Astyanax mexicanus: one gene and its partners. The protein of the gene in region 2 purifies or fractionates together with the protein of the main gene of each other region. This does not show direct contact. Links are inferred from orthologs where the notes say so. Each region holds a gene or a part of one and is shown on either strand. Other genes may lie near its edges. The genes, in order: zmynd19, mkln1 and maea.

Region 1 (10,955 bases), on a different chromosome or scaffold from region 2:
TATAGTTCACCATATGGCCCATTGCTAGTAGGTAGAAGTGAATGTAGCATAGAATGCCATCAATGTCAACAGCACATGAGCACAAACTGGTCTAGTTGATTTAAACATTTTGCAATTATTACCAGACATTACCAGTATAAAATACTAGCGATAGAGACTTGAGTAAAAGTCCAAGTCAAAAAGTGACCTAAGTAGTACTTAATAAAGCATGCAGCATACTTTGTACTTCAGTATTGCAAGTAGTTTATTCTAAAATGTATAATAACTAATGACATACTGAAAGTAAAAGTACAAATGCTGTGCTATGTATTTATCACAGAAAGCAGTGGAAAGTTGCAATGGGAGCAGTCTACTTACAAGAACAGCTTTATAGCTTGATTCACTCATGGCTGAGGCAGCTGTGTAACATTTTGTATAACTGTAGTGACTAAGGATGCAGCACATAAAAATGTATAGGAGTAAAAATATTAAACTCATTTAAAGTATGTACTAAAGTAAAAGTTAAAGTATGAGTAAGAATAATACTCCAGTAGATACAGGTAAAACAGTGAAGTAGTTCTACTTTGTTTTTATACTTCTCTGATTATTACTGTGTATCGTGATATAATTTTTATCACAGGATATCATCTTTAAATCTTTATTGTGACATAATATGATAAATATGTGAAACTGTGATAAAAAAAAACAGGCTTATTTCACCAAATATTGGTTTCTGAACTCTTAAATGATTTGTGAATATTAATAATTTCTTTTTATTTTATTTTGCATTATTTGAGGTCTGAAAGCCCTCCCTTTTTGTTTTTTAGCCATTTCTCATTTTCTGCAGTTTTCTGAATGACAATATTTTTATTTGGAATTTGGAATAAATGTTGTCTGTAGTTTATAGAAGAAAACAACAATTTTAATTTGGCTTATAACATATAATTATAAATAGCAAAATCAGAGAAACTGATTCAGAAATTAAAGTGATCTCTTAACCACAGTGTTGGGTATGTTATGTCCTATGTGAAGCACACAGACAGTAAACAACAACACAAGTTGAGTTACATTCTTCTGTCACAACGTTACCTTAATGTTTCAGTAACTCACCCTGACGGTCGTAGCTCGTTCGGTCAGCTGTGTGACTGTGTGACCCTGGCAGGAGCCCAGAGTTTCACACAGCGAGCAGACCGGCCTCTGCTCGGTGTTACAGTACCGGTCCAGCTCCGACTGGTGTGCGGGGCAGAGCTTCACTTCAGCCGGGGAGCCGGAGTCCGCCGCGGGGCTCGCCCCCGCCACCGAGCCGTTTGAGTAAAGGGACGGAATTACGTTTATCCAGGGGTCTTCAGACAGAGTGTCAGAGAGAGGAGACCCCTCCACCGAGCTCCTGCTCCTGCTGTTGTTATTGTGCTCCTTCTGAGACCCCCGGAGTCCGGGGTCCTCCTCCTCCTGCTCGGTGTCCCGCAGCGACACCACGGCCAAGTCACAAAGTCCGTAATCAGCACTCATGACTGCTGGAGAGAGGTGGGAGTCTTCAGCTGTGTTAAAAACAGCAGCTACAGCGTTAAACTCTACTTTACAAAGCTTAGATAGTTATAGCTATTACCCTTTCTCAGCTGTTCTTTTAGCTGCGCAGCAGGTGCATCCAGTTCTGCCACCCAGGCCTACCTGGCCTACCTGTCACAGGTGTACAACACGGAAGTTCCAGCTCCAGGTGGAGGATCCAGTTTTTCCAAGAGAGAGAGAGAGAGAGAGAGAGAGAGAGAGAGAGAGAGAGAGAGAGAGAGAGAGAGAGAACGAATGAGCGAGAGAGAGAGAGAACTTACGAGCGAGAGAAAGAGAGAGAGAGAGTGTGAGAGAGCGAGAAAGAAAGAGAGATAGGGAGAGGGAGAGAGGGAGAGAGAGCAAGAGACAGTGAAAGTAAGAAAGATATATTGAGACTAAGGGAGGGGAAAAAGTAAGATATAGAGAGAGAGTAAGTGAGAGAAAAAGAGCGATAAGGATAGAGAGAAAAAACGAGTAAGAGGGATGCAGAGAAAGAAAAAAGAGAGAAAGAGTAAGAGAGAGAGATAGAGAGAGAGAGAGAGAGAGGAAGTGCTCTCTAGTTTCACAGGACAGCCAACTAAACTGGATAGTTGACTTTAACTGAGTTGAGTCCCTCAGCAGCTTTCAGAGTTGAGATCCAAGTTAATCATCCCATTTGTAAAGAGCCAGAGTGGGCGGAATGGGAAAACAATGGCAGGTTGATGTTAATGGTCAACCCAGTGGCTCATGCTCTCACAGACCTACTGCACAATAATGACACTCACATACTCTCTCTCTCGCTCTCTTTCTCAGGTGTGCCCTTGGGACTGGATGCAGTCAAATCACAGCAATGTTTATTCCAAAGTGTGTTGAAGCCAACCAGGGTATACTGAAGCAGGATACATTCTAGTGTTTTTTGTATTTGCTTCACATTTTAAATCTTTATGCACACAAAACTTTATGCCAAAAAAAAACAAAAAGACTTTGCATAATACATTTAAATAACATGCTATTTGACTTACAGTAGAAAGTCACCTAAAATTGAAATACGTCTGGTATGGTGATGCACTGTTGGTCTGTTCATTGACACCTGCACAAATATATAGGAAGAAATTATTTCTGTCCTCATAACAAAAATAAAGTGAATGGTAAAGGAAAACTACTTCTTATCTTTCAATGGAAGCCAATTAAAGAAAGTTTATTTCAAGTACTATTTGACATTTTTTTGGTCCTAGAGTTGCCACCAATGTTTAACAAAAACCTGGACACTGTTATACTAATATATACTGATAGACTTTTTCTCACCAACATACATGTCCTTAAGGTGAACATAACAGAGAAGATCAGAGAAGGCTTGGTGAAGTATGGTTTTACACAGCACTGACTATATTAACAATGGTTGTATTGTTTTTAAATAATGCTACAGCAGAGCCACAGTTACCAATTCACTGCCTGTCCAACTCTACCTGTAGGAGCCACCAGGGCTGATGGGGTAGTCAAGTCTAATGATTCTGCAGTATCAATGAAAAACAGTCATGCAAGTGCACCCAGAGTCTAATCAGTCAATTTAACAGACACAGTAAGACAATGAACTTACGAAACTGGGACATTTAGAGATAATCATTACCCTGGATGGGTAGCAATACACTTATCATGAAATTTTGACATGTTAGATACATATTATGTCAAAAAATAAATAAAAAATTGCGTGACACTGACTATGCTATTTTTAAGAATGTGCTTTTTGTCTTGCATTTAATATTTCAGTCCTAATGCAATTCAAACTAACAACCATCTAATGTGTATAATATGATGTGTAAAATGTGTATAAATTATCTAAAGTGTATAAAGTTGGGGTATTAACTTTACTCAAGTAAAAGTGTAAAAGTACTGGTTTAAAAAGTACTTAAATTATAAAAATAAAAGTAATTTTAAGGGTGGGGATGATAAAAAATGTTTTTAAGAGATTTATCTGGATAGTTTTTTTAAAGATCATGGATCCGGAATGAAAACAAGCTGAAATTAAATAGTAAAAGTAACAAGGCTATTTGTAATGTAATATATGGAGTAGAAAGTTAAGATAATTGTGTAAAAAAGTCAGGAAGAGAGGCAAAAAGTCGTCTTTACTCCAGTTAAAAGTATAGATAACCAAAATTTCTTCTTAAGCAAGGTAACAAAGTATATGTACTTCATAACTTGACACCTCTGTTTATAACACTAAAACTTTGTTGCATACTAGTTGAGTATATAGCAGTTAGCACTGCTCTAGGTTATCTGTTCACGCTCTGACTCGGAATTTCGCGCTAAAACGGCGCCACGTTCCCGCGCTCAGAGAAGCGCCAGCCAATGACGCGGCGGAAGCGGGCGGGTAGGAGGAGCTTGCAGTGAGATTCCCTTCCTTGATTGGCTGCTGGGATCAAACCCCAGTACGCAGCCAGGCACACGTCAGACACAGTCAAATACGCGGCGTTTTAACTGGCTGAGGCGCTCGGGGTTCTTCAGGGGTTGGTGTGTGCTGAAGCAGGGCTCTGTCCCGCCCCCTGTGAACGCTGGCAGCAGAGTTGCCAGATTCGAGATTCTCCCGCCAATTTGAGCATGTTTGAAAATCAAGTGTGCTGCCTTGAATGTTACATGAACACGGTGGGCAAACGTGTACAATAAGAACCAGGAGAACATAACGACATAAGGGAGATAAAGAGAGAGAGAGAGATTAAATGTTCTTGACTTGGATATGAAACTGTTATAAAATAATTGATGAAACACAAATTTTACAATATTATTAATGACTTTATGATAAATAGCAATACTGATAATGAATCCCTTATAAACAAAATAATAAGTCGTACACTCATCTTTGTTTTGACATTTGCTTTAAACGTGTGACAGACATACAGCTCTGAAAAAAAGTAAGAGGCCACTATACTTTCTGAATCAGTTTTTCTGGTAAATATTTGAGTAAAATTAACATTGTAGTTTTATTCAATAAACTAGGGACAACATTTCGCCCAAATACCAAATAAAAATATGGTCATGTAGACCAGAAAATGAGAAATAACTAAAAAAAGATGCAGAGCTTTGAGACCTCAAATAATGCAAAGAAAACAAGTTTATATTCATAAAGTTTTAAGGATTCAAGGAGATTTTATTGTCATTCGCATCACATGTGGTACATGAGGTGGAATGAAATTGTGGTCTCACGATCCAGTTTACACCCAGGAGCAATTGTTAAAATAGATACATATAGACAAAATAAAATAAAATAAAAACAAGAATACAATAAAATAGAATAGAACAAAATAGACATCAAGATAAACACACAAAAAATAGGGAGAGTAAGCAGGTGGCAGCAGCATGAAGTCCAGAGTGCAAGTTAGCTATAGCAGCATAATAGTGTGAATTAAGAGCATAAGTGTCTCAGTTAAGTTTATAATGACAGTGTTTGTAAACAGTAATTGTCTTTGTAAAGTGACAGTGCAGTGTTCAGAGTTCAGAAATCAATATTTGGTGAAATAATCCTGGTTTTAATCACAGTTTTCATGCATCTTGGCATTTTCTCCTCCACCAGTCTTACACACTGCTTTTGAATAACGTTATGCCACTCCTGGTGCGAAAATTCAAGCAGTTCAGCTTGGTCTGATGGATTGTGATCATTTATCTTCCTCTTGACAATATTCCAGAGGTTTTCAATTAGGTAAAAACAAAGAAACTCATCGTTTTAAGTGGACTCTTATTTCTTTTTTTCCAGAGCTGTATATTTTTTGGGCTTTAAGCTTCTGAAGGGCGGGTTTGACACTGACTTTGGGCTGGATATTTTTGTTGGACCTGGCAACCCTCTCTGGCAGGTTTTCCAACGCCACTCAGCGGCGGCGCATCGCGGTGGTTTGGTAGCGGGTGGGGAAGAGTCGGGCAGCGGCTGACCCTCGCAGACAACAGAACTTGTAGGGAACTCGGGGTGAGGGGTTGCCCGGACTGCCTTCAGACCCGAGAACCGCCAGACCTGCGCTTAAAACCTTCCGCTCATCACCTGCGAGACCGTCCGTCTAATGTCGGATTTCAAGCTCGGGATTGTTCGACTTGGCCGTGTGGCCGGGAAGGTGAGACCGATCCCGGGGACTGCCATGTGCGAAGGGGAGGGGATCACAGAGCTGGCGAGGAGGCTTTTATTAGCAATATTTAGAGATTAACGCATAAATCAGCGGCTAACTTACAGTACAGCACGATGGTCGTTAAAACACACACCCCCTGAACGTGTCTGTTGGTCGAATAAGCGATTTTACCGGTGTTCCGTCGAGTTGTGCTACGTTGTCAAACCGTGCTTCCCTAGTGTAGCTGTATTTAACCCTTTCAGACCTGAATTATGTGTTATATATATTCTAATATAAAATCTATACGAACATTAAATCAAATTAAATAAATTTAGTAACTGTCTTATGTCTATTGCATTGGAGGCCAGTGCTTAACATTTTTTGATTTTAGATTTGATCTTGTCCTTTTTGTTCACAAGCCATCCCTAAACACTAAAATAAACATGGTAAAAAGTGTTCTAAATCACACACAATTAGTACAAAAAATAGCTTTTTTAATTTGCCTATGTGACTCTAGTGCTAGGATTTTTGCAGTGGGCAGGGCTAAGCTATTGTTTCATAAGATCGTTTTTAGTCTATTCTGATTAACAAATGGTCTCAATTAACGTTAGTGTTCTGCGCAACAAAACATTTAGGAAAAAAAGAAAACGCATGTCTGTTGTTGTGGCAAGTGGCCTGAAATGGTTAAGGCAAAATATATAAGGCGGCAAAAATACAAATGAAGCACCATATTAGAGCATGATCCCTGTATGTTTATATATATATTGGATAGTATAAATCACTGTATTAGGGTGAAGTTAGCTAAGGTAATGGGAGGTAATTAGAAACTGCTTTTTGTATTTTTTATTTTTCTATTTATTTATTATTAATTGTCATTTTTTTCTTTTGTGCAATGACTGTGAGTCCAGGTTGTTTAATGCTCAAAAAACCATAAAAGATAATAAACACACTTATCATATTAAAAAAACGGAGAAATAATTAAAAAGTGTAGGTGAGCGCATGCGCAGTGCCTTTAGAAAGCGCGTATCGACGGATAGCATAACTCGGCAGAACACCGGAATAGCTTCCAAGCTAACGAAGCTAACGCAGCTAACCTGCTAGCAAAATAAACGGCAGGGTTTATGAAGGCTGGTGAGCGCGTGTGTGTGTGGATAGTGGCCCTAAACAGCATGTCTCTTTTTATAATTTAAGATACTCATTTAACGAAACGTGGGGTTTAAAATACTACACGATGTTTCTTAAGCAGCCGGCTTAAATGAACTTAGCACTCGGTTAGCTAGCCGGACATTTAATCAGGAGACGAGTCGGCAAATCTCTGAACCAGGAACCGCTGCAACGTGACTCAAACCGGCGGCATGTCTGCTGAGTGGAGGAGTTTCAACAGCGGGCTACGTACAACAGCTAGCCCGATTAACTAAAGACTACGCATCTATAGCGTATTAAACTACATAACATAGAGAGATCACAAGCTAGCTATTATTTATCTAGATAACCCAGTAACAGTTAACCTAGTTCGCTACAGTGGGAGCTAACATTAGGTTACACGGTGTAACTATAGGTCTATAGCTTGCTAGCTTAGCAAGTTAGCCCCTAGCTTTGCTGCTATTGTTGTGTTAGTCAAGCCTTTTCAGCCTAAAATCACACCAACAATGGCTATTATCTCCCAGTTAGAGTTCTGTGTAAAGCAATTTTCGTAGTAAAGACTTTTACTTCAGGTGTCATCTAACGTTTAGCTAGACGTACTATATTTTAATATCAGATCTGTGCTAAAAACAGAGCCATCCTTACCATTTTCACCTGCCCTTAATGTTATTACTAGCCACATCACCATCACAATTCTCACCAGTCTTAAATGTTCTTTTTACTTGCCACATCTTCAACATAAACATCTGTCCTAATGTTATTTTTGTACCACTTTACTTGGATGGTCCATTTGATGGCCCCATTGTCTAACATTTACCTAACATTCAAATTCACGTCTATTAAATGCAAATTAACCCTATGTGGAATGTAAATGATTGAAAATAGAACTGAACTAACTATTATTTAACCCTAAAATCTAACCATAACCTCAATCATTAATCAACCCTAAAATCTAACCGTACACCTAACCCTAATCTTATCCTTAACTATAACATTTCTAACCCTTAACCCAATCTCTAAATGTTAAGATTAAAGTTTGGGTTAGAGTTGGGTGTGGGGTTACACTGAATAGATAATTAAATCATTTATTTTTAGGGTTAAAAAAATGGTTACGGTAAGGGTTAGGCGTAGGGTTCGGTTCTATTTTGTGTTATTTACATTCCACATAGCATTGATTTGCATTTAATAGACATGCAGTTGAATGTCAGTTGAGCATCAATGATGCCATACATTGACCATCTAAGTAAAGTGTTCCTGTTATTTTTACTAGTCACAACCCCATCACCAATACCTGTTTGTAATGTTATTTTGGGATTTTACTCACAGTAACACTTTACAATAACAGTACATTATTTAATTAACAGTACTTACAACAGATTATGTTGTTAGTTAAGCCTTTATTAATAATGACGTTTTATTATGTTTACAGTGTTTAATAGCGTTATAATTGTTATTCCAGACATTGCTTAACCAGTTAGTATCGTTTATGACTGTTAATTGATATGCTTATTGTAAAATGCTCCCTCACTCTCTTATGAATAGTGACATTTTTGATTGTAAAAACAATCAAACTAACTACAATTACATATAATTGCTTTCTTACTAGTGAAAATAAATTGTAATTCTTATTGCTATAACTTTAATTTGATGTATCTAATATTATCATTAGTCCAAAAATAGACTAAATTCTCTACTATTACTATGACTAGATTAAGTATTTAGTTAACTACTAATTTAGATCACTTTATAGATTAGTAGGAACTGAGTTGGGAATTGTATTGTTGGTGTCATTTTAGGCTATAAATCTAGCTATAGCTCCAGTGTGTCTGTGCCAGGCCGCTCCTGCTGTGACACTAGAGGGCAGCTGGTAAACAGAGATCAGTTTGGATAGGTGTGGGCTGGAGCTGCATGACTGAAGGCCTTGGTAGACTAATGATGTGTACTAATACACAATGCCAGTGGAGATCTGTCATTATCTCAGCACTTAAGCATTTTAGTCTTTGGGCATGCAATTTTACTCCACTAATAAAAATTAGATGAAGTGAATGCTTTTTATTGGCTGTTTGTATTGGTGTTGCACATGCTGTGATGCATGTCACCACTGTCACATGTCTTTTTGTATCTACTATTTTTTTTACTTCAAAATCTGAATCGGACACAGCTGTTTTTTTTTTTTTTTTTTTTTTTAACAACAAATCAAATGTTCATGATTAATGATCCAAAATAAAAAGGGTTTTTCAATTTCTTGTGATATGAGGATTGTGATTGACAGCCTAAATAGCTTGTGACTTCAATAATAACGATTGATTGATCTTTCTCTCTCTCTTTCTCTCTCTTACTCTCTTTCTCTCTTTCTCTTTCAGACAAAGTACACCCTCATAGATGAGCAGGACATACCATTGGTGGAAAACTATGCCTTTGAGGTGAGGAATTAGACTCTGTCTGTGTGTCCATTTTATTCTGCCACACCCACTTTTTGTTTATTTCACTCTTGTGTTAGAATTTCCAGTAATTTTAGATTTATGGTGGTGGTATGTTCAAAGACTGCTGTGGAAACTGATCATAAAGTACCTAGCTATGCTAACACAACATTTTAACAGGCTATCTAATGGTTATTTAGACTGTATTTAACTAGCTTTGGAAAACAACACACAAAGATTGCAATGTTGTAGGTCACTATATATGTTGGAGGACCTGAGTCTATGTTTCAAGGTGCTGAAAATAAAAACATCTCATACATATATACTTCTGCTTATACCAAATTGAGAAGAATGATAATCTTACCGAAAACCTTTCTCTCTATAATGGCAAATTTAAAGGAGAAGGAAACGGGTTTCTTAACATTTAATGGAAGCTCATTAGTAATTTTGGAGCATCTGTATTAAATTCTAACACATTGTAAAAAAAAATTGCCAGATTTACATTATCACTAAGTAAAATAGACAAGAATAGTAACCAAGGAAGAAAAAAAAGATATATATATATATATATATATATATATATATATATATATATATATATATAAACTATCTAATGATTGATGTTTAAATTTGCAGTTGTAAAGAATAAATTATGCAGGTTTTCGGTGAAAAAGTGTATTGTGTCTTCGTTAAGTCTTCGTTATAAGCATTTATATTCACAGCTTGTTCTGTTTCTTCATATTGAGCACGAAACTTAATTTCTTAACGTGCTTAATGATTTTTTTCAGGCTCGCATGGAGGTTGATGCCGACGGCAACGGAGCAAAAATCTTTGCATATGCTTTTGACATTGGTAAAGGCCGATGGGCTGGTCGTCCCCTGCATGAATTACTTTGGTGAGTTTTAGGTTCTTAATGAGTAGAATTGTTCTCATGAATATGTATCAGGTGAATTTATCTGTTAAAAAGAAGGATGTTTATATTCAAGTTTAACCTGTTGTGTGTGTGTGTTTGTACAGGGAAAAGCACAGAGGTGGCATTGCTCCTAGTTTCCAAGTCGTCCACATTAACTCAGTCACAGTGGACAACCGTCTAGACAACCTGCGCCTCGTTCCTGTTGGCTGGAGTCCCAAACCAGAGGAGCTGTCCAGCAAACAGAGGTAACCTAAGTTTACTGTGCTCCCTCCTGGAGGATTGGTGCCACCAGTTTAATCTAATACAGTGACTCTTGAATTACAGTAAGAGATCACCATGTTCTGGTGTAAACACTACATAGGAAAGTGCTCTTAAGTCTGTTATTTTAGTTTTGAAATGACTGGCCTTCAGTAGGGAACATTCAGCAAAGTCTTATGCCTTTTACTTATGTCTGCCTCCTGAGATTTAGTGTGTTTATCTGTGTGTGTGGTCTTTCCACAGAGAGCAGTCACTCTACTGGCTGGCCATCCAGCAGGTACCAGCAGACCCAGTTGAGGAGCAGTATCTGGAGCTAAGCCGCACACGCTACTACAACGCTAACGGAGAGCTTGTGGAGGAAGAGGAGTGCTCTTGCACGTACTACGAATGTCATTATCCCCCTTGTTCACTTATTGAAAGGAGGGTGAGTACTGTCCTGTAACTGTTCCTGTTATTTCGTTTTGATGTTTGTCCAAACCCTGCATTACAGCTATCGGGCTTATCCATTTGTATCTGGATACTTCTGAACACGTAGCTCTCCAGCAGTGTTTCTAAAACTCCTTTCATTGTCAGTAATGGAAAAACAGCTCTGTAATTGATGTGTTTATGTATGGGCATATGTATGTTTGTTCA
Region 2 (10,785 bases):
ATGCATGAAAACTGTGATTAAAAAACAGGATTATTCCACCAAACTACAAAACAAAAACATTTTTTTTTTACATATTGGGTTAATTGATTATTCACATTGATGGGCTTTCCTTATTAGGAAAAATCTAATAGACAATGTTGAGGTCTACAAAAATGATTGTGGCAATTCCCATATATTGTAAGATAAATGGATAACAATCATGGTGACAGCCTAATTATTAGTTATGCTCTATTCATCCACTTGCAATGAAAACTGTCTATTGTTGGCTATTTATTCTAATGCAGCAGGACTGTGTATCTTGCCCACAGGCAGAACCAGGAGTACCTAGACAAATCTGTGTTTTGAGCTCATTATCTTCCAATTGCTGGTTCACAAACTTACCATGGCTACTGGCCCACAGAACATACTGTTATAACATGTAAATACCGTGATAAGGCATCGTTTGTACTCAAATGTTAAATAGAAATAGGAACAGAACCTTCTGTTCACACTGTGCACACATTTTGTTTGTATTTGTGTTAATTCTCTGGATGTTTACAGGTAAGGATGAAATGGAGCAATGGCAAAGAAAATCGTCAACCACAACCACTGCCAAATGGAAATAACGAAACACGACACTAGCTAAAAAAGATACGTTTTAAAAAGCCAGTGCATTGACATGAACATGTCTGTAGATCACATGAAAACAAGTAGCTTTATCACATGTCCACACAGTAAGTATACCTGCCTTGTCAGGCTGAGGTAGGTGTGGTACAAAAACACCACAGCACTTCAGGCTTTTAGTGAAAACAGGGGTTAAAAGTTGAATGTGCATGAGAATGTACCCCAGACAGCACTTTCGATTTCCTTTCTGCCTAACCACAAGACTGACAGCACTGCATGCTGCATGCCAAGGAGACAACAGGCCACTTCCTCTTTCCAAAATGAGATTAGGAACCGGAATATGGCTAAAGAGGTTCATCTTGGGATGTAAAGAAACACATGGTCATCATATTGTGGAGCACAGAATTCATGACCAGCTTCATTAGATCTGAGCAAAAATAAATAGTGAAATAACGCTTAATAATGAATAATATGCATTTATCATTATAAATTAAGACCTAAACAAAGCAAGAATTATTTGTTGAGCATTTTACAAACTTTGTAACTGAAACTGACATTAGTAACTACACATGCAACATTGGCAGTCTGTGCTGATTGAGTGATTTTAAGGTTTTCTGGTTTATATTATGCAACAGTGTAACAGTGAAACGTTTATTAATTTATTTTTCGGAGTGTTTGAGGCAAAACGAAAAAATAGAAAATTGTATGTAAAAACTTAGTTTATTTAGTTTTAATGTAGTATTTTATGTTACAATTTTAGTTTTCTCATCTCTGCCCCTCACAATCAGAATTTCTGGGGAAAAAAAATAATAACTTTTCTTTATTTTCTGATTTTTCCATTTTTGTATTCTGCAAGTTAAATTATACCATCAGATTTGTCTTACAAGACACAAAAATGGACAAATCTGAAAATTATCCTTTTAATTTTTCTTAAAATTCTGTTTGCAAAATGCTGAAATGAAAAACTAAATTTTGCTTGATATGGTCTAAATAAGTTAAACTGCTAAACCAACAGTACCAGCAACTAGGAGCAAATATAATAGGAAAATAACTTTTACATACATTTTGTGTAGATTATGCATATTTCTGACTATATTTTAATTTTTCTAGAAAAATCTCCAAGCGCAGCGACTTGGTTCTGATACATCAGCTCACAGACGCCTTGTGCTGATCAACATCACCCTTAGGAGTGATGTGTTTAAAAGAGCACCATTTACCTACCCAGACAGAGCAAGGCCAATTGTGCTCTCTCAGGACTCCCTCAGCTGAAGGTAAGCTGTATAACCAGGATTCGTACCAGCGATCAGATTTTATATTGATTTACCACATGCAGTCATCAGATAATTTTCAGCACAAACACACTAATCAGATAAAATCTTCAGAGTTGCAGGCCAGATACCCCTCTCAACAGTACATCACTTAGCCCAGAACTGGGAGTATTAGAAAAGAGCAGAGACAGCAAACTCATTTAACGACACTTTGCACTCTGCAGTGCAGTTGTGCATAGGAATATCTATTTCAGACTTAAACTAAACATTAGCTGGTTATCTTAATTACCAACAACATCCATTTACCTAACTACATTTTGAACCCTGAAAAATGCTTTAGAAAAAAAAATAAACCAACTTCCAATGTTCAAAACTTCTGAGCACATTTTAGTAATGCTCACAAAAAACGGCCCATAAAAATGAAATACTATATCTACGAATCGATGATATGTGCTGCCCTTTCCAAAAGTACAAATGCAAGGACTTTGCACATGTAATACACAGAGTGATCAATAATTTAAATACGCAACTACAGCCACAAACAACTTTTCCCTCTTTCAAGCCAAATGCATTCAGTTCAGGGTGTATGATTCATTATAAAAATATGTTAAAATACAAATATTAGCACATTCATGCTACAAGCAGACAAACAAATCAACGACTAAAGTCTAACTATACTATATAACAAACTCTACTACTTATAAAATGTACTCTACTGTTGCAAAAGGGGCTTACTACTCTTCAAAAGGGGCTTAAAACTCCATAGTTCCTCTAACGTTTTGGTTTCTCTCTGTATGCACAGGAATGTAACTATTTTAAGGCTAAAATCCTTACATACACAAATAAAAATAACACTTTCTTAACCTGTATATCTTATTTGTTAAATGGATGAAACAGAGCTGTAAGTGCTTAAATAAACTTTCAAAAGAAGCTAGTTTTATCTTCAGAACAAACCAGTCACTCCTACATTCTGTAAAGAAGATCAGATAAACTCTTAGGATGTTCAGTAAATCTGAATGCTGAATTCTGTAGGCAACTTTCTACATATTCTACATCACAAATATGAAACATGTTGCAGAATGAAGTTTAGATATTCACCTGTGGAGGATAATTGCTTTCAGAGGACCACCTGGAAGACTGGTCGCTGGGCTTGTCCACCAAAATGTTTCTGCAGGTAAAGAAAGCAAAGCATTAGTTGGCTAGTAAATGCCATGTTTGGTGAGATTTCCTAAACCGGCTTTCCTATTACTAACAAAATAAGCCTTTCAGCAACATTCTGAAGGTAATGTAACTTGGGTAAACTTGAGTAAGACTCTTAGCTAGATTATGCCGACCTTACATCTAATGATTTTCAAGCCATTTCACTGTCACAGACATTTCCAGAATTGGGATACTCTTGCTAGAGTTGAGCTTCAGTCGAGTTGCAGTTGCTTCATCACGGTCGTTCAGTGTTAGTAGTAGGTAGTTAGGATTGAAAGCTCACGCAAAGAGTGACTAGAACAATATTAACAACCAATAGGAGAGCTGTGGGAAGCCACAAGACAAGGATATTTTACATGACTGTTTACAAACTTTTTGAATAAGAACGTATTTGCAGTTAATATGCCTTACATGGTTGTTACTTACATATTTACAGTATTTTAAACACAGGTAGCACTTTAAAGTCACTATATTTAAAGTTTTTTTTTTTGCACTACTTTGTCTTCTTGCGCAGTGTTATTTTTCATACATGTTTAAAAATACATATTTTGCAAGAATTGTTTTTAATTGCATTAATTATATCTAAAACAAAGCCAAATGTCTAGCAGTGAAACTGTGATTCTTTGCTATACAAGTTTTCTAGCAAAAAGGGGGGAAAACAAAGCTTATAGGCAGAGTTGAACACAGTTGTTGTTGTGGACAAAAGCTGTGCGTCTGATAAATCATAGTATTGATATAGCATTATTTGTAACTTAATATGTAATATGTATTGTATGTGAACTCCACCCGAACCATGATGGGAAATAATCTCAGAAAGAATCTAGTTGAAGTCTTGCAAACAGTGATTTTTAGTTTTTGCAAAACCTTAGCCTGTGACTGAAAAGTCTGTGACTAAAAAGTCTTCGACGAAAACGTCTGTGAATTGTCTTTAGATGTGAGAGGTTGTCAGACTTTAGTCTGTTAAAATCCTTAAAGAGCCTGTTCAAAGTCTTGTAGTGTATGAACAGCATTAGCAAACTAACGTTACAAAATAGCATTACATTACACGGTACACAGAGAGGTTCGATTGCCCTAGTTTTTAGTTTATACTATTTGGCCACATTAAGGCTTTGCTTACATAACCTAGTTTACTAGCTAGCAAGATAACATGTGTGATAAATAGCCTACAAGAGACAGAAATAGTGGTGTAAACGTGGGTCACTGCTTTTGGTGTCTCACGTTACTCCACTAATAGCAGCTAAACAGCCAACAAGCAAGATTCATGAAGCACCAAAAATAAACTTAGGGCTAATATTGGGTTTGGCTCTGACCCGAGTTCTCAAAGCTGCACGATGACACAAATAGTTTAAGTTATAAATAAAAGAGAGACATTTGCTAGAATTCTATAAAGGCTATAAAAGGTAAATAGAGCAAGGTATCTATAGCTAGCTAGCTGCTGTAATATGAAGAGGAGCGAGCTGTCAGTTCACCCTGTGTTTTCCTCACATACATTATGTAGCTAGCTTAGCCTGGCTAAGCTAAGCTATGTTAACCTAGCTACAGCTTTACAAGCTTTATCTAATGTATATTAGCTAGGTTAGCTAATTAACAGTTAGCTAACTTCTTGTAATATTACCCCGATAAGCCAGTTAAGTACGTTTAGCTATGTGCACTTTAGGTTATCTTATCTAAGCTACCGATAGCTGGCTAGCAAGCTAGCTAGCTAATTCTAATGCTATCTGCACCTGGATAGCTAACGCTAGGTAGTTTAGTTAAGCTAAGCTAAGCTAGCCCGCTCTGCTTGTTAGCTAAAGGCAAACAATAAAGAAATGCATGAACTGCTGCAGCTAAATAGCTGAGTAAAGCGGTTAACTAATCATGGCGCCTCAGTCAGCCTAGTGTTTTAGATAATTTAAGTAATAAACAGGTAAGTTAGCTAAGCTATCCGTTAATATAGTTAGCTAGCTTAGCTAAGTGCTATCTCAGTTTAGTAGGTGGAGTGCTGCTCGGCCCGTTGTCCAAGTCAGGCCCCGAGTTTAATATTCTGCACTGTACTGACACCGACACCGCAAAGGCGCTAACAACAGAGACTCCCGCGGCTTTTCGCGGCGTTACTCACTCCGGTAAATATGTCGAGGAGTAAGAACTCCATTTATAAACACTGTAGGAAAGCACTCTGCTCTCGGGAGCCACCGCCATCTTGTTGCACAAATAACAAGTAACGCAATCTACAAGTCTAATGTGGGAGTGACAGCTTCTTAAAGAGACGGTGCTGCAGGAAAAAGAACAACTAGGTTAGCTATCATTTTCTGGAATAAGTAGCTTATCTAGTTACCAACTCTTATCTACTTACTAAATAAAGCAGCGAAAAAGGCAGGCTTTAATACATTTATGGATTGGTATTATATTATTGACGTGTCTGATAACATATTCTTGAAATAAGGGACAAAACATGCCCTCCTACATTTGGATTCTGACTACAACAAATTGTGTTTTCTTTAGGTTTTCAACTGTCTCACTCCCGATCTTCCTATTTCCCTTGACACTAAAAACACTGCATCCCTCAACCACCTGTTGTTGAGAGTTGGTGGCCATCCGTCTCTGCAGACATTTCTCGTTTTATGACATTTCTCGTTTTATATGTGCCTGGCCACAAAAAAATCAGGTCACACACTCTAATATTTTGTTGGACCACTTTAGCTTTGATTCCGGCCCACATTCATTGTGGCATTAATTCAATAATCTCTCAAAATGAAGGACATATTTTGTCCCTTATTTCAAAAAATCATTTTAAAAAAGTTATCAGTTAAAAGAGCTATGGGATAATAAACACGTTGCACACGTAAATAATATAACATTTATTTATTCAGTCAGACAGCTGCACAAAGCCTTCTCCAGCACATCCCGAAGATTCTTAATGAGGTTAAATTCTGGACTCTGTGGTGAACATTCCATCTGTGAAAATGATGATCTCATGCTCCCTGAATCACTCTTTCACAATTCCAGCCCCATGAGTCCTGGTATTAGAATATGGCCGTGCCATTTGGGAAGAAAAAATCCATTGATGGAATAATCTGGTCTTTATTCAGGTAGTCAGGTAGTCATCTGACCTCATTCTTTCAGCACATACTGTTGCTGTACCTAGACCTGCAGACCAACTGCAGCATCAGCCCCACATCATTTACTTACTTAAATCCAGATGGTGACTTAACAAGCTGAGCTTGTGTATAATTTTCTGTCTGCTGGAGCATAAACTCAAGTCAACTTTGAAGCTAACTCCTGAATCTTATTTTAACTATTTCTAACAATTGGTGTTAAAAATGAAAATAATAATAAAAAAAATAATAATCACAGTAAAATAATTTAAAAGTTAAACCAGAAAGATCTGTGTGTGCTCTTTAAATTAATATCATACACTTTTTCTTATAATTTCATCACAATTTGTTAAAATGCAGGCTCTGTAACCTATATGGAAAGCACATGTAACTTCATCTGTCCATAAGTCCTGGCTGGCATACTCACTGGTTTCCCTTTCTCTTTATTTTGGGTTGTTGGAAGTTTGTGTTGGTTTGAGGGGGTTATATTTTGTGTGGCCTTGTTGTCATTGTTTGCCTGTCTGGAATTGGGGTGGAGGGTCCGCCGTTTTAAGAGAGAATCTCTGCTCATTGACTCATTTTGGTCAGTGGGAGCATGGTCCAGTCTCATTTCTGTCTTCAATGACGCTACAATAGCTTTGACTTGCCAACTGACCATAACATTTTTTCCTCCAAAGGCCCTTTCTTTGTTGATGTGGTCAGATGCAACCTTTTGTAGAGTTTGATGGTGTTAATTTTCTAGCAGGGGCTTCTTTCTTGGATGGCTGCCTTTCAGACTATGATAATGGCACCAATACTGGCTGTTTCAGCAGCCTCCAGTTCCAGTGGAATATAGAATCCTATTACAGACAGCACTGGGAAGGCTGTGCACTGAATACACTCTAAAGCCAAGCAGTGAATCCAAGACATTCACCATGGAACATTTCTTCTTTTCTGCACAGCATGCATATTCATGTTATGATGAATACATAATAACCCATAAACTAGTCCTGGTTTTCATACTTTGTTCCGCCTTTATGATGATGAACAAATCACCAAAAGCCTGAGGGAAAAAAAAGTGTTTTGTGAACTTGTGAGGTTTTCAGTGTTTTTGTCCCTTTATGTGACTGTAAAAACTAAGCCATTTCAAAAACTCAGTGTTGGTTTTGTAATCATCCTGAGATTTCTGCATCACTTTAATCCGGTTTTCTTTTTGCTTTTATCATTTTCATTAAAGAACTTAGAAAAAGAGTTGTATTCAATTTCACACACATTCAAAGCAGGCAGTTCACTCATTTACAGAGGCTGAGACTTGTAGGCCTATGATTGCTAAAGTATTTGAGAGAGAAGTAGTAATTTTTAATGCTGAGGGGAAAATGTTGGTTGCTGTGATTGGTTTAAAATGAATAAAGTCAGTATCTACCTTATTTTGCCACGCCTACTTTTAGGAGGTTTTCAAATAAATTTTTAAATAATATCCAGTCATTTTATTTCAAACATGTATCGCTTTCTAAGTAAATGCAGTTTGCAGGAGCTACTTATATAATAGCTAGCTGTGCTAACCCAACCCTTCATCTAATGTTATAGCATAGCTAACTAGCTTACGAAGACTTACGAGTGTTGTTAGAAATGTAGTACATGTGTAACACTTTTGAGGCGGGATGCAAAAGCAAGTCAGTTTTATGTTCTGACATTTTAAAAACAAATAAAGAACAAAACTGAGACAAAGAAACAAACAACACTAAGACTTAAAAAAGACTAAAACAAAGAAAGACAAACTAAAGAAAACCAACCAGAAACTTAACTGACACAAAACATGACAGGAATGTGGATAAAACAAACAGCAAACTAACACTAGTATATATAAAAACTGGGAAACAGGAAACACCTGGGTGAGGAAACGAGGTTGCAGGGTAACTGGGTGGGGCTAAGGCAGAGACAAGGGAGGAGACAAGACAGAACCATGTGCTAAGAAGCACATGGCTAGGAAAACAAAACTGATTAAAAAGCAGGACAGGAACGACAATTAAAAGGAAAAACACAAGACATACAAAGGCTAAGGTGTTACAATATGACCCAAATTTAACTGTTAGCTTTTAAATTTACTTGATTACAAGTTACCAAAATTCACTATATTTCGCCAAATGGATTGACTGATTTGACTGTTCATCAGATTTGTGCTAAAAAGAACATGTGAAGCAAAAGCAACAATGTTAAACATGCCAGACATGAACTTCAACAGGTTTATTATTCGTGTTTTTTAAATAATTTTGTAGAGTTTATTTTTAAGAACAATTCTCAACCTGTGTGTCTAGTGGATGCCAGGCTTGAATGAATGGCATTGACCTGCCATGTGTTAACACTGTTCCCTGTTCTTTCCTCTTCCTGTTTGGACATTTAATTATAGAAGAACGAAGCATTTCTCCTGATGAGTGCAGTTCACCCTGAACCACCCCTGAACCTGAACTTTTTGGACTGATGGAGAGGACAATGCTGAGACCAATAAATCTCATGTTTCTCCAGCTCTCCTTTTATTTGATTAGCAGCTCACTAAAGCCCTCTGCTTGAGCTCACAGGATTCCTCTGTTTCGCTGTTGCACTGGTGAGTGGCTCACTGGCAGCTGTCCATGACTGTACCCGGACTGTAAGAGTTTGCCAGATCACAGGGCCAGTCCAGAAACACGGCCAGAAAGGAGTCAGGAGGGGGGCTGTAATCCTCTTTAATACACTTCTCTGGAGGGGGGTCTTTTTACCAGCCACTGGACGTCCTTCTTCAGGAGTTCACACAATCAGCAGTACACCCCGATGTGATGAAGACCTAAAAGGAAGCACATACTTTTAGCACTAACAACATAATACTCAATTATTATTGAGCACCGTTGGTAAAATGGCACATTTTGTTGTTATATTGAGATTGAGAAGTACACTGACATGCCAAAGGTCATGGAATAGAAGTATGTGAATTGATCCTGAAGTGTTACCTCCGGGACGGCTCTGAAAAAAATAAGAGACCACTTAAAAGTTATGAGAATATAATCAAGAGGAAGGTGGATGATCACAAGCCATCAAACCAAGCTGAACTGCTTGAATTTTTGCACCAGGAGTGGCATAAAGTTATCCAAAAGCAGTGTGTAAAACTGGTGGAGGAGAACATGCCAAGATGCATAAAAACTGTGATTAAAAACCAGGGTTATTTCACCAAATATTGATGAAGCGATGTTGTCCGTAGTTTATAGAATAAAACAACAATGTTCATTTTACTCAAACATATACCTATAATTAGCAAAGTGAGAAAAAGTAATTCAGAAACTGAAATGGTCTCATATTGTTTCTCAGAGCTGTGAGATGGTATTTTGTAAGTTAGTTTGGAAACTGACCAGCATGCTCATGGCAAGGTGGCGTAAATTATAAAATATCCTAGAGGCTTGATAGAGGGGTGCCAGATGGATGGAAACATCTATTTCTGAAGTTGTAAAGGCCTTTAACATTTCTCTAACCACATAATACACAAGTCTGTTGTGTACTGCGAATACATCATAGAAGGCATTACCACCTGCAGTGAACAGTGCAGTGAGTGGTAATGATTGGGACTGATGGAGTCTTGCAAGACTTGTCCATGAGAACAGGCAAGCAACTCAAAAATCAGAAACCCACAGCTCAGTGCAGCATTCTTTAGCTGCCATGCATGGCAGATATCATGGGACCTGGGACTAGTACTTGGAAAGCCTAAACATTGCAAAGACTCTTTTTTGACAAGATCTTTGCAAATCTATTATTAAGAAAGGTATGAATATTTACTCTTTGGCCTCCATGGCTGCTGCAATTGCATCAATATCCAACATTTTTTATTCCAAATTTTTTCAGACATGCGCAGCTCCTTACTTTACATTTGGCATTTCATTATGGGAAAATTGTGTCTCCTGTAACCATACAACATGCCTAATTCCTTGTATGCATTGGAGATTTTTAGTATACTCTATGTTGACACTTTTATCTATATCCTACATAGTCACAAAGTAGTTAGTAGAAGCAATTAGCATGCAAGATGACAGCTGAGATGGGATTTGTTTATAACTGCAGTAATTGTCAGGGTAACATACCAGTTTAAAGAGCACCTGCTGAGTACACTTGATAGCTGGTCCAGATTGAGGTTGGATCCCATTTTCATCCCAAATAAACCACTCAAGAGCTCATTTGGGATTGGACCAAGACCAACTCCTCTGAGGAGACTTGGTAAAGTAGAGCTGAACTGTATTTGCACCAGTCCAAACGGTTGTGAAAAAGGGTGAAAACAAACCTAGAGAGTCCGATTTAACTGTACTAAAAAGTGCAAGTGTGAAAACGCCCTTATTCTGCCTTTTTTCCTCTTTCTCTTTCTCAATACTCTCTCAGTATCCTCTCACTCCCTCCTCTCTCATCTCTAACTGTCCAGGTCAGGTTGTTCCTAATGCACACACAAGCACGATGTGATAAAATCCACATCCAAACCAGTTTAATTGTGTCTGACTGCTGATTATCATTCTCTGCTATCAGCCAGTGAAATGACCTTGACGATAAAGGCACTTTGTGCTCCGGTGAATCATGCCACAGATAGACTCTGTCTCTTACCGGACGCATGCTGATGTAAGGAGCTGGAGATAATGCAATTTTTCCTAAGTGCA
Region 3 (11,212 bases), on a different chromosome or scaffold from region 2:
TAAAGCAATATTTACTTCCTTTTTTTTTTTTTTAGCAATAAGTAATTTAACACATTACTATTCCCAATCTAGTAATCAGATTAAAGTTACTCATCCATGTCACTGTGCATTCCTTTTTTGTCGTTTTCCTCAGTAAAAAAATACCGTAGTATCCGGCCGGACACGTTGAAATGATGGACAAGAAAGATGTTTACAGTCGTCGCTTTATGGCTGAAACTGGAGGCTGCAACCACGCCAAAATAACAACAACAGGCTAGTGAGCTAACAAGCTTAATCAAGCACTCGGGCTAAACACACACAAACACAGCAAGCACCCCCTCCCTCCCCACCTCTCTCTTCCACACACACACACACAAACACACACACACACACACACACACAGCAGTCACACCGCTCTCTATACCTCTCTATCACACACACACACACACACACACACACAGCAAGCCTCCCTCTCTCTCCACCACACATACAGATCCCACATTCTCTCCACCTCACACAAACACAGTGAGCACCCCTCTTTTTCCATCACACACACACACTGAATCTGACATCAACATCAATTTGAACCACTTTCTTATGTGGTCATGAAATCTGATACACTCTTTGACACAGTTTGAACAGCCACAATGATTAATTCTGATCCAATCACACTGAAGAGAATTTACTATGTATCAGATCTCATAATTATGACGTAGTATAACATTATAATTACTTGCCGAAGGACCCAATTTTTGCTTCTATAGACAATTTAATGAGTAGGTGTGAAAATGGAAAACAGCAGCAAATATTTGGGGTGAAGTTTCTGTTAATATAAAACTAGAGGAATGTGTTGCATGTGTTCCCAAGCCAGCCCATGATATGTCATTTGTTCATATAATCATTTTAAATAGTGCTATTTAAAATGCCTTAAGACATGTCAGTTTATATGTTAAATTTGAGCTATACTTTATAAATAGTACTATATCTCTAAACAAAATTGTACCTTGTACTTATGTACATAACGTACATAATGTAATTTGGATTCAACTGGATTCTGACTTTTGTCCACTGTGTACAGTCTTAAAGTTCTTAGAGGAATGCCATAGAAAAACCTTTTTGACTTCTTCGAATCTTCTACAAAAATGTTTTTTCTATGGCATCTTTTCAAGAACATGTATACATATCAAACCACTGATAAGGATAAAGTTTAGAGGGAAATGATTCTTCTCTTATTTTTGTTTCCACACTGGGGGGGTTGCATCCTCTTGTACACCCCCACAAATCAAGACCTGTTTTTTGTCAGTTTGTAAGTACAGTGCATGGGGGGCGTGTGTTTTCCACTGAAGTGTGACTGGTTCTGAAGAAATCAATGAAGTGTCTTCAAATCTTAGAAAAGCTAAATTCAATTGAAGACAGAAAGCACAACTGAGCTCAAGCGTAAACCGGCACTCAACCATGCGTGAAGTTATATTGAGATAAGCAGAAATGCCACTGATAGGCTGATATTAATCGATATTATAATCGATATTAGTCTATCACAACCACCTCCAACTCGGCCATTCTGTTTCTTTTCTCCCTCTCTCTTTTCTTTCCTCTAAAACTACCACTTCCCTCAAAATCAGTGTGTCAGCTAGAAAGGCAGCCCCACCAAACCAGCCCCTGACTGCCTCTCCCTGTCTGTGGAAAAGAGAGAGAGAAAGAGAGAGAGAGAAACAGAAAGCCTGTGTCAGAGCACTCAGAGGCCGGGCACTGACAAGCACACACAGCTCAGAGGGGGGAAAGAAAGGGGGGCAAAAACAATGACAAACCTTGCATCACCCGCTTTGGAGGCTCAGTCCCTCAGTGTGCCTGGGAATTGGGTAAAGCATGAGGACCGAGAGGAGGGGAACAAAACTGAAACGGACCAATCAGGCCTGGCGACCGTGGGCTGCCTTTGGAAAAGATCCAATCGAATCGTGGCTCATTGCTCAGGCTGACTGGGGGAGGGTTTCATGCAGGAAACCGAAATCTGAGCATGCTGTGGGGTGGGGAAAGAGGGAGGCAGGGAGGAGGTGAACGAGTGTAATGGGGGGATGGTGAGGAGGGGATGGACAGAGAGTGGAAAAATAGCTCTTTTTCATCAAATGAAAGTTTTGGCACGGTGAAGACCCAGCTTAAAACATGTTCTCCTACTGTGGTTAAAAGGGGAACTCCAATGATCTGATTAAAAGTTTAAGATGTGAACAAAAGTTACAAAAGTGGCCTGATGTGCTCTGTATGAGAGAATCTTACCGAGTCAGAACTGTTTGAAATTTTGGTGACAGATATCTGAAAAACAGAAATGTTTGGTCAAAACAAGATTTTTATCAAAAATACAGTGGCTTGCAAAAGCATTCATACCCTCTGAACTTTTCACCTAATAAAATACATTTAAGTTTGTGGTTGTTGTACAGTGACAAAATGTGAAAACATTCAAGGGGTATGAATAATTTTGCAAGCACTGTATATTGGGGCGGTTTCCTAGACATGGACTAAGCATAGTCTGGGACTACACAGCATTCTGAATGGAGATTTTTCTTTAAAATAGAATCATAGACTTAATCCCTCTCTTTAGACCCTATTTTGCTAATTGCTACCTTACACCCCACGAACAGCCTTTTTTTACGCTTCCGTCTGCATCGCTTAAACAGGGACAGAGCTTACGAACATATCTGTGCCTATAGGTGTGGTGCTCTGGAAGTAAGGTGTGTTCAGGTTCTGGCGTATTGCTATGTATGCAGTGGAAACACAGGTACACTGAATGCAACCTAGGCAACAATCAACAGTCAGACATTCATCGTTCATTGTTATCTTGGCAACACAGGCATGCTGTGCTGTGTTTAAACCCCAATCACTAGATGGCAGTACCGGTACACTGTCGTGAGATCCCACTGTTCTAATTTGCATAAACAGTTAACTTTTCTTTCATTCTGATTTTATAAACATGTTGTGTGTTTTTATACTAGAACAGTTTTGTCTAAAATGTGCCAAAAGCATTTCTATTGCAATATATTGAATTGTAAGCCTGTAATCGTGATGTGTATTGTATCTCCAAGTTTTTGCCAATACACATCCCTATATTCTATCATTCCAACATTATCAGTATTACTGTACGACGAACATGTAGGATTTCCAATGGTATTTGAAAACTAAATATATGTGTGTATTGATACACACACCCCCACACACACTCCCACTTATGTCATGCTGTGAAGTCATGGGACAGCAGTATTTAAAATGATTAAGACCTTTTATCTAACAGGATGGCTTGGGAACACCCAAACCTAATCTTATAATAATAGTATAATGATCTTTTTTATAATTTACATTGTGAGAAAGAGAAGGGAACCCTCACTAAAAGCCTGACCCGTAACTGATCTGACAGAAGTCTGAGGACACACCCCTTTTACAAACTTGCGTTTTACAGTGGTGCCCTTTATGTAGAGTACATCAGCATAGCCTTCCTTTTGAGGAGTTCCAAACACACAGGCTGTGTGCCAATAAGCGTAGGCGACTCATGTTCTAACTAGCAGGGGTGTAAAACATTTGTGTTTATGTACTTGGTTACTCATTTCTTTTTTAATTTTTAAGAACATCTGGTACTTTACTTACATATTACTAAATATTGAAGGACACTTTATTCTCTCCCCAGTACTGTACAATTTTGAAACTTTGAAATTTGAAATCTTTTAGGTATGCATAGATTGACTGAAGATTTACAATACCATACACATTATTTTGTTGGTATTTCTATGAACCAAGTCACATTTTCTTGCTCAAATAACAATGGATAGTGGAACATTTTTACATATATGTTTTACTGCAATACCTGTTGCATGCATGGCTAACTCCTAGCAACTTATTTCAGTGGAAAACAACTACACTTTTTCCACCCTGCTTACACTTGCCTTGTGTGGAATACTGCCCAGTGTTGCTATTGTGCTCCAAATCAGTACTCCGGCCAAGTACAGCAGAATTCCTATTGCACTCTTGGAGGACGGTGTACTGTGTGTCCTTGGAGTACAGACAGTACACCTGGCAGGGCTTTCTATTCCCAGATGCCCCCTCAGTTGGATTACTGTGCCCCCTCTGCTTTGAGTTCCTGTTCTGTCCTGCAAAGTATTTCACTTTAAAACTAGCTCTGACAAGTGTATTGTCTATACTTACTGTATTTTAGTTTTAGTAACATTTACAAAAGCAGTGATTTTTATTGTAACTAATTAATTTTATTTGTTAAATAAAATTATGTGAATTTTACCCAAGGAATCCTGACAGGTAATATTTATGTGTATCATTTACTGGGAACTTATTTCACCATTATCAATGTTCTGTTGTCTTGCTTTTCAAAGAAAAAAAAAACATTTACAAAACACTTAACATCCCAGCAGACATAACAAAGCACTATATTATTAAACATTGTCTAAATTAAGATTACATTTTGGCTAAATATTTTTGGATGGCAAATATTCGGAGCATCAGCAATTTGTTTAAATTATCAGTGGTAAAATGTTAAAGACTAAAATGTAACTGTTACAATTCAAAATCTCACAATTTCTATATATTGTAATACTGTAAGCTATATATTTTATATTTAAATATATTTTGATTGTTTAAATTAAATTAAATTGTAGGAAAACTGTCACAGTACAAAGAACATACTATCATATTTATTATGTCTGAGTCAAAGAAAGTTTATATTTGTGCAATCAGAACAAGGATCTAAACACTTTCCAGTGGCCGTGGTTGATATAGATAAATAAAATCTTGATTAAATAAATCAGGGTATATCACCTTGTATGTAAAATAATTAAAAAGCTATACTGCGCTTTGACAATCGATACAAATTGCAATACAAAATAATTTGATATGATGATATATCAATATTTTTTACACACTACTTGAGTACCTGTAACTGAGCATTAATATTACTTCACCAAAATACCAATAGGCCGGACCCTTGCTGACTTTTGTTCTACCTATTTCTGTTTACTAGAACACAATAGTAATACACACTATTCTCTTTCTATCAGTTAGCTATTTAGATCTAAATGCTCACAGTTTTTTGTAGAAACTGGGTTCTGGGTGGGTTTCAGCAAAGGTCCTTCGCAGTAAAATAATTCTTAGATGGTTAAGCGAGAAGCTTTAACGAGTACAAACTTAATTTAAAAAAATAATTCACGGGAAATGTATGAATACACAATTTATACACAAAGTGCACTGGATTAAAAGGCGCACTGACGATTTTTGGAAAAAATTGGGAAAAGGATTTCAAGTATGCCTTATATTGTGAAAAATACCTATTCATGTGTGCTCGACTTATCGAGAACTACCTCAAGGTAGTGTGTGTATAAACAGCCTTTTTTTATAAAACAGGGCATAAAAATTGTGATTTCTAAACAGTGGTGTGAAAATGTTGATTTCTTTGCATGGCTACGCTATGCCCCTATCGCAAGCATTGTAAGCCTGTTGGTAGCATCAGCAAAATGCTGTATTTCTAAAGTCTGGGGGCTATTTGACAATGGTTTGCACTCGTTTTCATTTTTCACTACCCCCTAAGTCCATTTCACACCGAATTTCTCCTTTAATGCTAAGATACTTTGGGAAACTGGGCCCTGACCAGTGTACCAGCATGCAGGGTGCAAAAAAACACGAACACGGTACTGGGTGCCGTTAGGGGTCAGTAGAGAAAGGTTCTCCATTAGAACTACAGTGAGGGCGAGCGACGAGCAAGAGCACATACCGTTCTCCCCAAACGAAGATGGCGGTGCAAGAAACAGCTGCTCAACTCTCCATGGCTCTGAAGGTTCAGGAATACCCGACTCTGAAGGTCTGTACGCGCCGCTTCCACCCTTCACAGCACGCGGACTGAAGCACTGGATTAGGCTGGGCTGATCTAGACTGATGATGGGGGGAGATGTCAGGTTAATTAAGGTGTCAGCGGATTGAGAACCAGGCGAGAAGTCTGCAAGCTAGCGGGGCTAAAGCGAGTTAGCAAAACAAGTCAGCGAGAGATAGAGAGAGGTGTAGATACAATGAAGGAGAGAGAGGGGTGAACGGACATCGAGGGCTTTTGACACTGCAGGGATACCAGTATTAATAAGCCCGTCTGTTTTACGCATTTCTTTAACAGTAACTTAGCTAATAAAAACAGCTACATTATCGTATGCTGGACGCGTTGTTAGCGTTAGCTAGGTTAACGTTCCTGTACTGAATTTGTAGTTAACTGGTTTGTGGAGGCTGAGCCTCAAATAACGACAGACAGACAGACAGACTGGCTGACTGACATTATAAATGTCTCTACAGGCAAACGGGCCTAACATCTATGTTATGTAGCTAACAAAAAAATAAATAAATAAAAACTAAAGCAGACTACTGTCACAACGCTACACTGATCATTATAGCTGATTAAATTCAAACTATTGTAACGTTAGCACAGTAAATGCGAATGCACGATTGACATGAGTGAAATAAATGAAATTTCAAATGTAGCTAACAACCCACGATATACACATATTACTCAAACGACCATTTACTGATCCACCTAAATCCACTTATTTCAGGGTAATTAGGTAAGTTAGTTAACCTAGCTATCTAGTTAACCTAGGTTAGCCAACGCTAAAAAACTAAGCAAGCGAGATAAACAAATTGCTCGCTAAACGACCGTGTACTTTGCTAGTTAAAGGGCAAGACGGTTAGCTTGAGGACTAACCTAGTTTCGCTAACGTAGCATAATAAAAGTACATTATCGTGAGTATTGTTAGCTAGCTAGTAGCTACTTGTATTCTCGACGTAAAGCTAACTATAGCTAGCGTTAATGTCACTGGTTTTGTTCATTTGTTTTAATGTTACGAAATAACGAAAGACAGACCGCTTGACATTACGCTAGATACAATCCTGCAGTGTAATGGGCCTAAAAACTAACTATAGCAGATTCTGAAAGGAATGCATAGTGTTAAGTTAGCTAGCTAGCGTCAACTGCCTACATAAGAATTAAAAGGGTTAGCTCAGGGCTAGCTAGCGTTAACTAGCTCACTGTGTGAGAGTAATTGCTAAGCTAACTCATTTTTTATATTCATGTTAAATTTAACGAACCACAGATTTAAATTATATTGACACATATATATCTAGGTAACGTTATATGTGTTAGCATAGCTGGCTAGCTAGCAGATTGCCTGCTAGTTGTGCTAAAACCGTTTGTGCTCTGAAATAACCCTAAGTTAGACCAGTCTATCTGCTCAAATGTATCACTATCTGCTGTCAGGTTGCTAGCTAGGTAATTGGCTAGCCATTTGGCTAGCATGACGTAACCCAAGATGTACTGAGCAGCTAGCTAGATCAGCTAGCTAGTTAGCTATGTTAGCTAACCTAGGTTTGCCCTTATAATCAACCATTGTTTTTTAAATAATCATCGGCTCATCTAGCTAAATACAGCCACACATGTAGCCATTTTTAGCTAGTTAGATGGTAGAGGAGTTATTTATTAAAAAGGAACCCAGGTGGTCGTGACTGTGTCAGTGCAGGACGGTGGTGACCACTAACGTTAGCTGTCTTTAGTCCCCCACGAAAGCCAGACTGGAAGGCTGTGTGGTAGCCAGAGCTGGCAGCTCCTGCTGATCCACGCTGGAGGAATGCACGCAGGGGTCGGACAGGGGTACGTGTTGGTGTGTGGAGGGCATCGGGTTTAGCCTAGCTGAGATCTCACTCCGGATAGCCCATAAAACATGCTTTAATCGGCGTAGATGAACACACACACTGTGTCTGGGCGTGAGGGAGCCCAATGTTTGATGGCTGGCATGCCACCTTTGTTCTCTGCGTCACAGATTTAGCTGTTTTCCACTCCTGGAAGATTGAAGCATGCAGTGCTTGGGAATAAAAACAGCGATCGTGACGCTTAGGCATGTTGTGTGATGCGAGAGAGTGCTTTTGTGCATTGTTGGAGCAAAACCAGGGAGCATTTGTTCCACTGTGTAATGTTCCATTATCTAGTACCGGTGCTGAGCACGTATACAGAATATAAATGATGCAGGTTCCTCCTTGCTTGCTGTCAGGTGTGAGAACAAAAAGATCATGTGTGTGATGTGCTGTGTTAAAGGCATGGCAGTTAGACAGTGATTGCTTTTAGCATCGTTGGGATGTACTGACAATGAACTGATGATGATGATCATTATGATGATGATTTATTAGTTATCTAACCACTAACCACGTTCATTGCCTCCAGCCTTATATTACAGCCTTATAAGTGTGGTGGATATGGAAATTACTGCCCAGGTTTGCTGTTTGTTAGCCTATTTTTATTGCTCTCCAGACCTATAACTGTTTTTGTAATCCCAGCAATACATCTTATACACAGTATTATTGTCTTCTTAGGACCACATTTTGCCACTGATATAATGATAACATAAAAGCATGATTATGCAATAATATCCCTTCAAAGAGTAATGGGCTTTAAGATTAGTGTATTAAAGCACTGAAGTTGGAATCTTTTTTTTTTGTAATAACCTAAATAAATGAAACATACAATTTATATACAACACAATAGGCAATATATAATACAACAAAATGTATTGATTTCCATATATTGTGGATAACTCACATTTTTGTAAAGGCTAGTGCTGTTAATGTCAGAATATCAGCCTCCTTTTTTAGATTTTCATTTAACACTTATAGTATTTATTAAAGGAGAGACTTTTCAAACAACATCCAGTATTTATTCACACATTAAAGCAGTTTAAAGCTGAAAATAGTTTGGTATGGCCTTCATTTGTTTCTATTTTTTCTTTAACTATGATGGAGTTCTTCAAATAAAGTCCGGATTTTCAGAAGTTGAGATGTGAAAGGGGCCACAAACCAAAGTTTGTTCTGAGTACAAGTAGTGTCGTCTGGATCTACTGAACAATGGTCATGTACAGTGTAAAAGCTGAATCAATCTTTAATCATAACAGAGAAAAAAAAAATTGGTGTTGTGCTGAAATCCAACTCTTCTCAACGTCCATGCATGTCACGTATGTCAGCTTTATGGACACAAACACTTAGACAGGGAATCCATTTATAAAATATTTTCATATTGCACACCTATAATTCTAAAATAGATCAGTTCGGCAGTATACTGATATGATTGCTTACACAGCTATCTGTAAATATCTATTTATTTGTGCACTCTATAGGTTCCCTATGAGACCCTAAATAAGCGCTTCCGTGCGGCTCAGAAGAATATAGACCGGGAGACCAGTCACGTGACCATGGTGGTTGCTGAGCTGGAAAAAACCCTCAGCAGCTCCTTCCCTGTGGTGGACTCAGTGGTCTCACTCTTGGACGGTGTAGTTGAAAAGCTCAGCGCACTCAAAAGAAAGGTAAGCTACCATGGGAACAGTTCATTACAGTGGATTGTTCACTTACAGGTTACACACATACAAACACATTTCAAATCAGCTAAATCATCATTTAGTCATCAGTATTTCATTAATATAAGTAATTTGTAATAGGTAAACATTCAACTGAGGCCTAACAGGTACGTTGGCGGGAGAGTTCTAACAGATTTTGATCTTTGTGAAGGCGGCAGAGTCCATCCAAGCAGAGGATGAGAGTGCTAAGCTCTGTAAGCGACGCATTGAACATCTAAAGGAGCACAGCAGTGACCAGCCTGCCAATGTCAGTGTGTGGAAGAGGAAACGCATGGACCGTATGATGGTGGAGCATTTGCTGCGCTGCGGCTACTACAACACCGCAGTCAAGCTTGCCAGGCAAAGTGGCATTGAGGTGAGCTCTCTCTCTGCTTTGTATGTGTAAGTGTGTAGGAAAAAGGATGAGAACAGACTAAGAACTTGTACATTAAATATTGGATGTGTTTACTGAAAAATTAGTTTTGTTTAGTTATTGATTGTTATTTGTAATTAATTTGGATGTTATTCTGCCAGGATTTGGTCAACATTGAGATGTTTCTCACTGCAAAGGAAGTGGAAGAATCACTAGAAAGACAGGAAACAGCCACCTGTCTGGCCTGGTGCCATGACAACAAATCTCGTCTGCGGAAAATGAAGGTACGGCAGATTTGCTATGTTTGAATTTAAAATAAGATTTACATATAAATACCTATAACTATCAGAGACATGTTTGGAGAAAAAATAGTGAATTGAATTTAAATAACAGAACACCCTGCCAACTGTTAAGCATGGGAGAAGATACATCATGTTTGGAACTATGTTCTTGCCAGTGTCTGTGCCAGCACTGCATAGGTGGAGGATAAAATGGCTCCCATAAAGGATCACAGAATATTGGATGCACCCATGTAGCACAAACCAAGCTTAAGCAGTGGCAAGCAGAATTTAAAATTAATTGTTTAAAATGCAGTAAATTCTCCTTTCAGAGCTGTTTGGAGTTCAGTTTGAGGATCCAGGAGTTTATTGAGCTCATTCGACAGAACAAACGCATGGATGCAGTAAGGTATGTAAAATGTAGAATACACAATTTGTCTTTGTAATGAGCACATCCTTTTACAGTGAACAAGATTTAGGCTATCTTCAACAGCAGCTAAAGGTGGTCTAAATCTGATTTTCTTTGTCATTTCTTTTTGTTTGTGTGGTAGTATGAAGGAAAAAACACAATAAACCTGACATATTTAATTCTGAGTTAGGAGACTTTCATATAAGATATTAAAATCTGATACACGTCCAGTAAGCGGCATTGTGACTTCAGATGGAAATTATTGCGACTTATATGCCAAAAATAATTATTGACAACGTTGAGAGTGGTGGGACTGTGAGGTAACAGACCTGATCATTTATTTAGGCTGATGTCTTTGTTCAAACACAATTAGAAGACACATAATTCAGTCCCTCCATGTTTCTAATGAAATTGCTGAACACATAGTTTTGTTTAGGACCCAAACCAAAGAAGTGGGTGTAAGCGAATAACATGCCTTTTTACAGTGTGCTTAAAAGCTTTTACAGAGATGGGTTCAGCTGTTGAGCAGTAGAACCCCTTCATATCTCATTTGAAGCTTGTATGTTGCATATAGGTTACATTATTAAGTGACATTTTTTTGAGAAACCCAGATTTGGGCCATATTTACCTGCTGTGTGAATGCAGCCACAGACTAAATGTATTTAGGTACAGTTTATTACTAAAGTGATGTTTTAACAGAAGTAGTTTTATATCTGCCACAGACATGCACGGAAACACTTTAGCCAAGCAGAAGGTGGGCAGCTGGATGAGGTAC

The links.
Region 1: the proteins of mkln1 (region 2) and zmynd19 purify together in Homo sapiens (affinity purification with mass spectrometry; 3 studies listed by BioGRID and IntAct, with this or other methods). This does not show direct contact. The link is inferred for Astyanax mexicanus from reciprocal best matches to the Homo sapiens genes MKLN1 and ZMYND19.
Region 3: the proteins of mkln1 (region 2) and maea purify together in Homo sapiens (affinity purification with western blotting; 3 studies listed by BioGRID and IntAct, with this or other methods). This does not show direct contact. The link is inferred for Astyanax mexicanus from reciprocal best matches to the Homo sapiens genes MKLN1 and MAEA.

The regions. Positions count from the first base shown.
Region 1 is NC_064408.1:19,971,666-19,982,620, forward strand, and holds the start of zmynd19 (zinc finger MYND domain-containing protein 19), read left to right. Parts: upstream 1-5,362; 5' UTR 5,363-5,546; coding exon 5,547-5,597; intron 5,598-9,094; coding exon 9,095-9,154; intron 9,155-9,939; coding exon 9,940-10,046; intron 10,047-10,168; coding exon 10,169-10,309; intron 10,310-10,565; coding exon 10,566-10,746; intron 10,747-10,955. Other genes in the region: bspry (B box and SPRY domain-containing protein), read right to left, coding at 1,090-1,488. UniProt on the Homo sapiens protein: May be involved as a regulatory molecule in GPR24/MCH-R1 signaling.
Region 2 is NC_064409.1:8,361,751-8,372,535, forward strand, and holds the start of mkln1 (muskelin), read right to left. Parts: upstream 5,266-10,785; 5' UTR 5,250-5,265; coding exon 5,170-5,249; intron 3,040-5,169; coding exon 2,970-3,039; intron 1-2,969. UniProt on the Homo sapiens protein: Component of the CTLH E3 ubiquitin-protein ligase complex that selectively accepts ubiquitin from UBE2H and mediates ubiquitination and subsequent proteasomal degradation of the transcription factor HBP1.
Region 3 is NC_064417.1:22,350,931-22,362,142, reverse strand, and holds the start of maea (E3 ubiquitin-protein transferase MAEA), read left to right. Parts: upstream 1-5,716; 5' UTR 5,717-5,755; coding exon 5,756-5,824; intron 5,825-7,502; exon of another isoform or gene 7,503-7,648; intron 7,649-9,161; coding exon 9,162-9,347; intron 9,348-9,549; coding exon 9,550-9,753; intron 9,754-9,911; coding exon 9,912-10,034; intron 10,035-10,360; coding exon 10,361-10,437; intron 10,438-11,159; coding exon 11,160-11,212.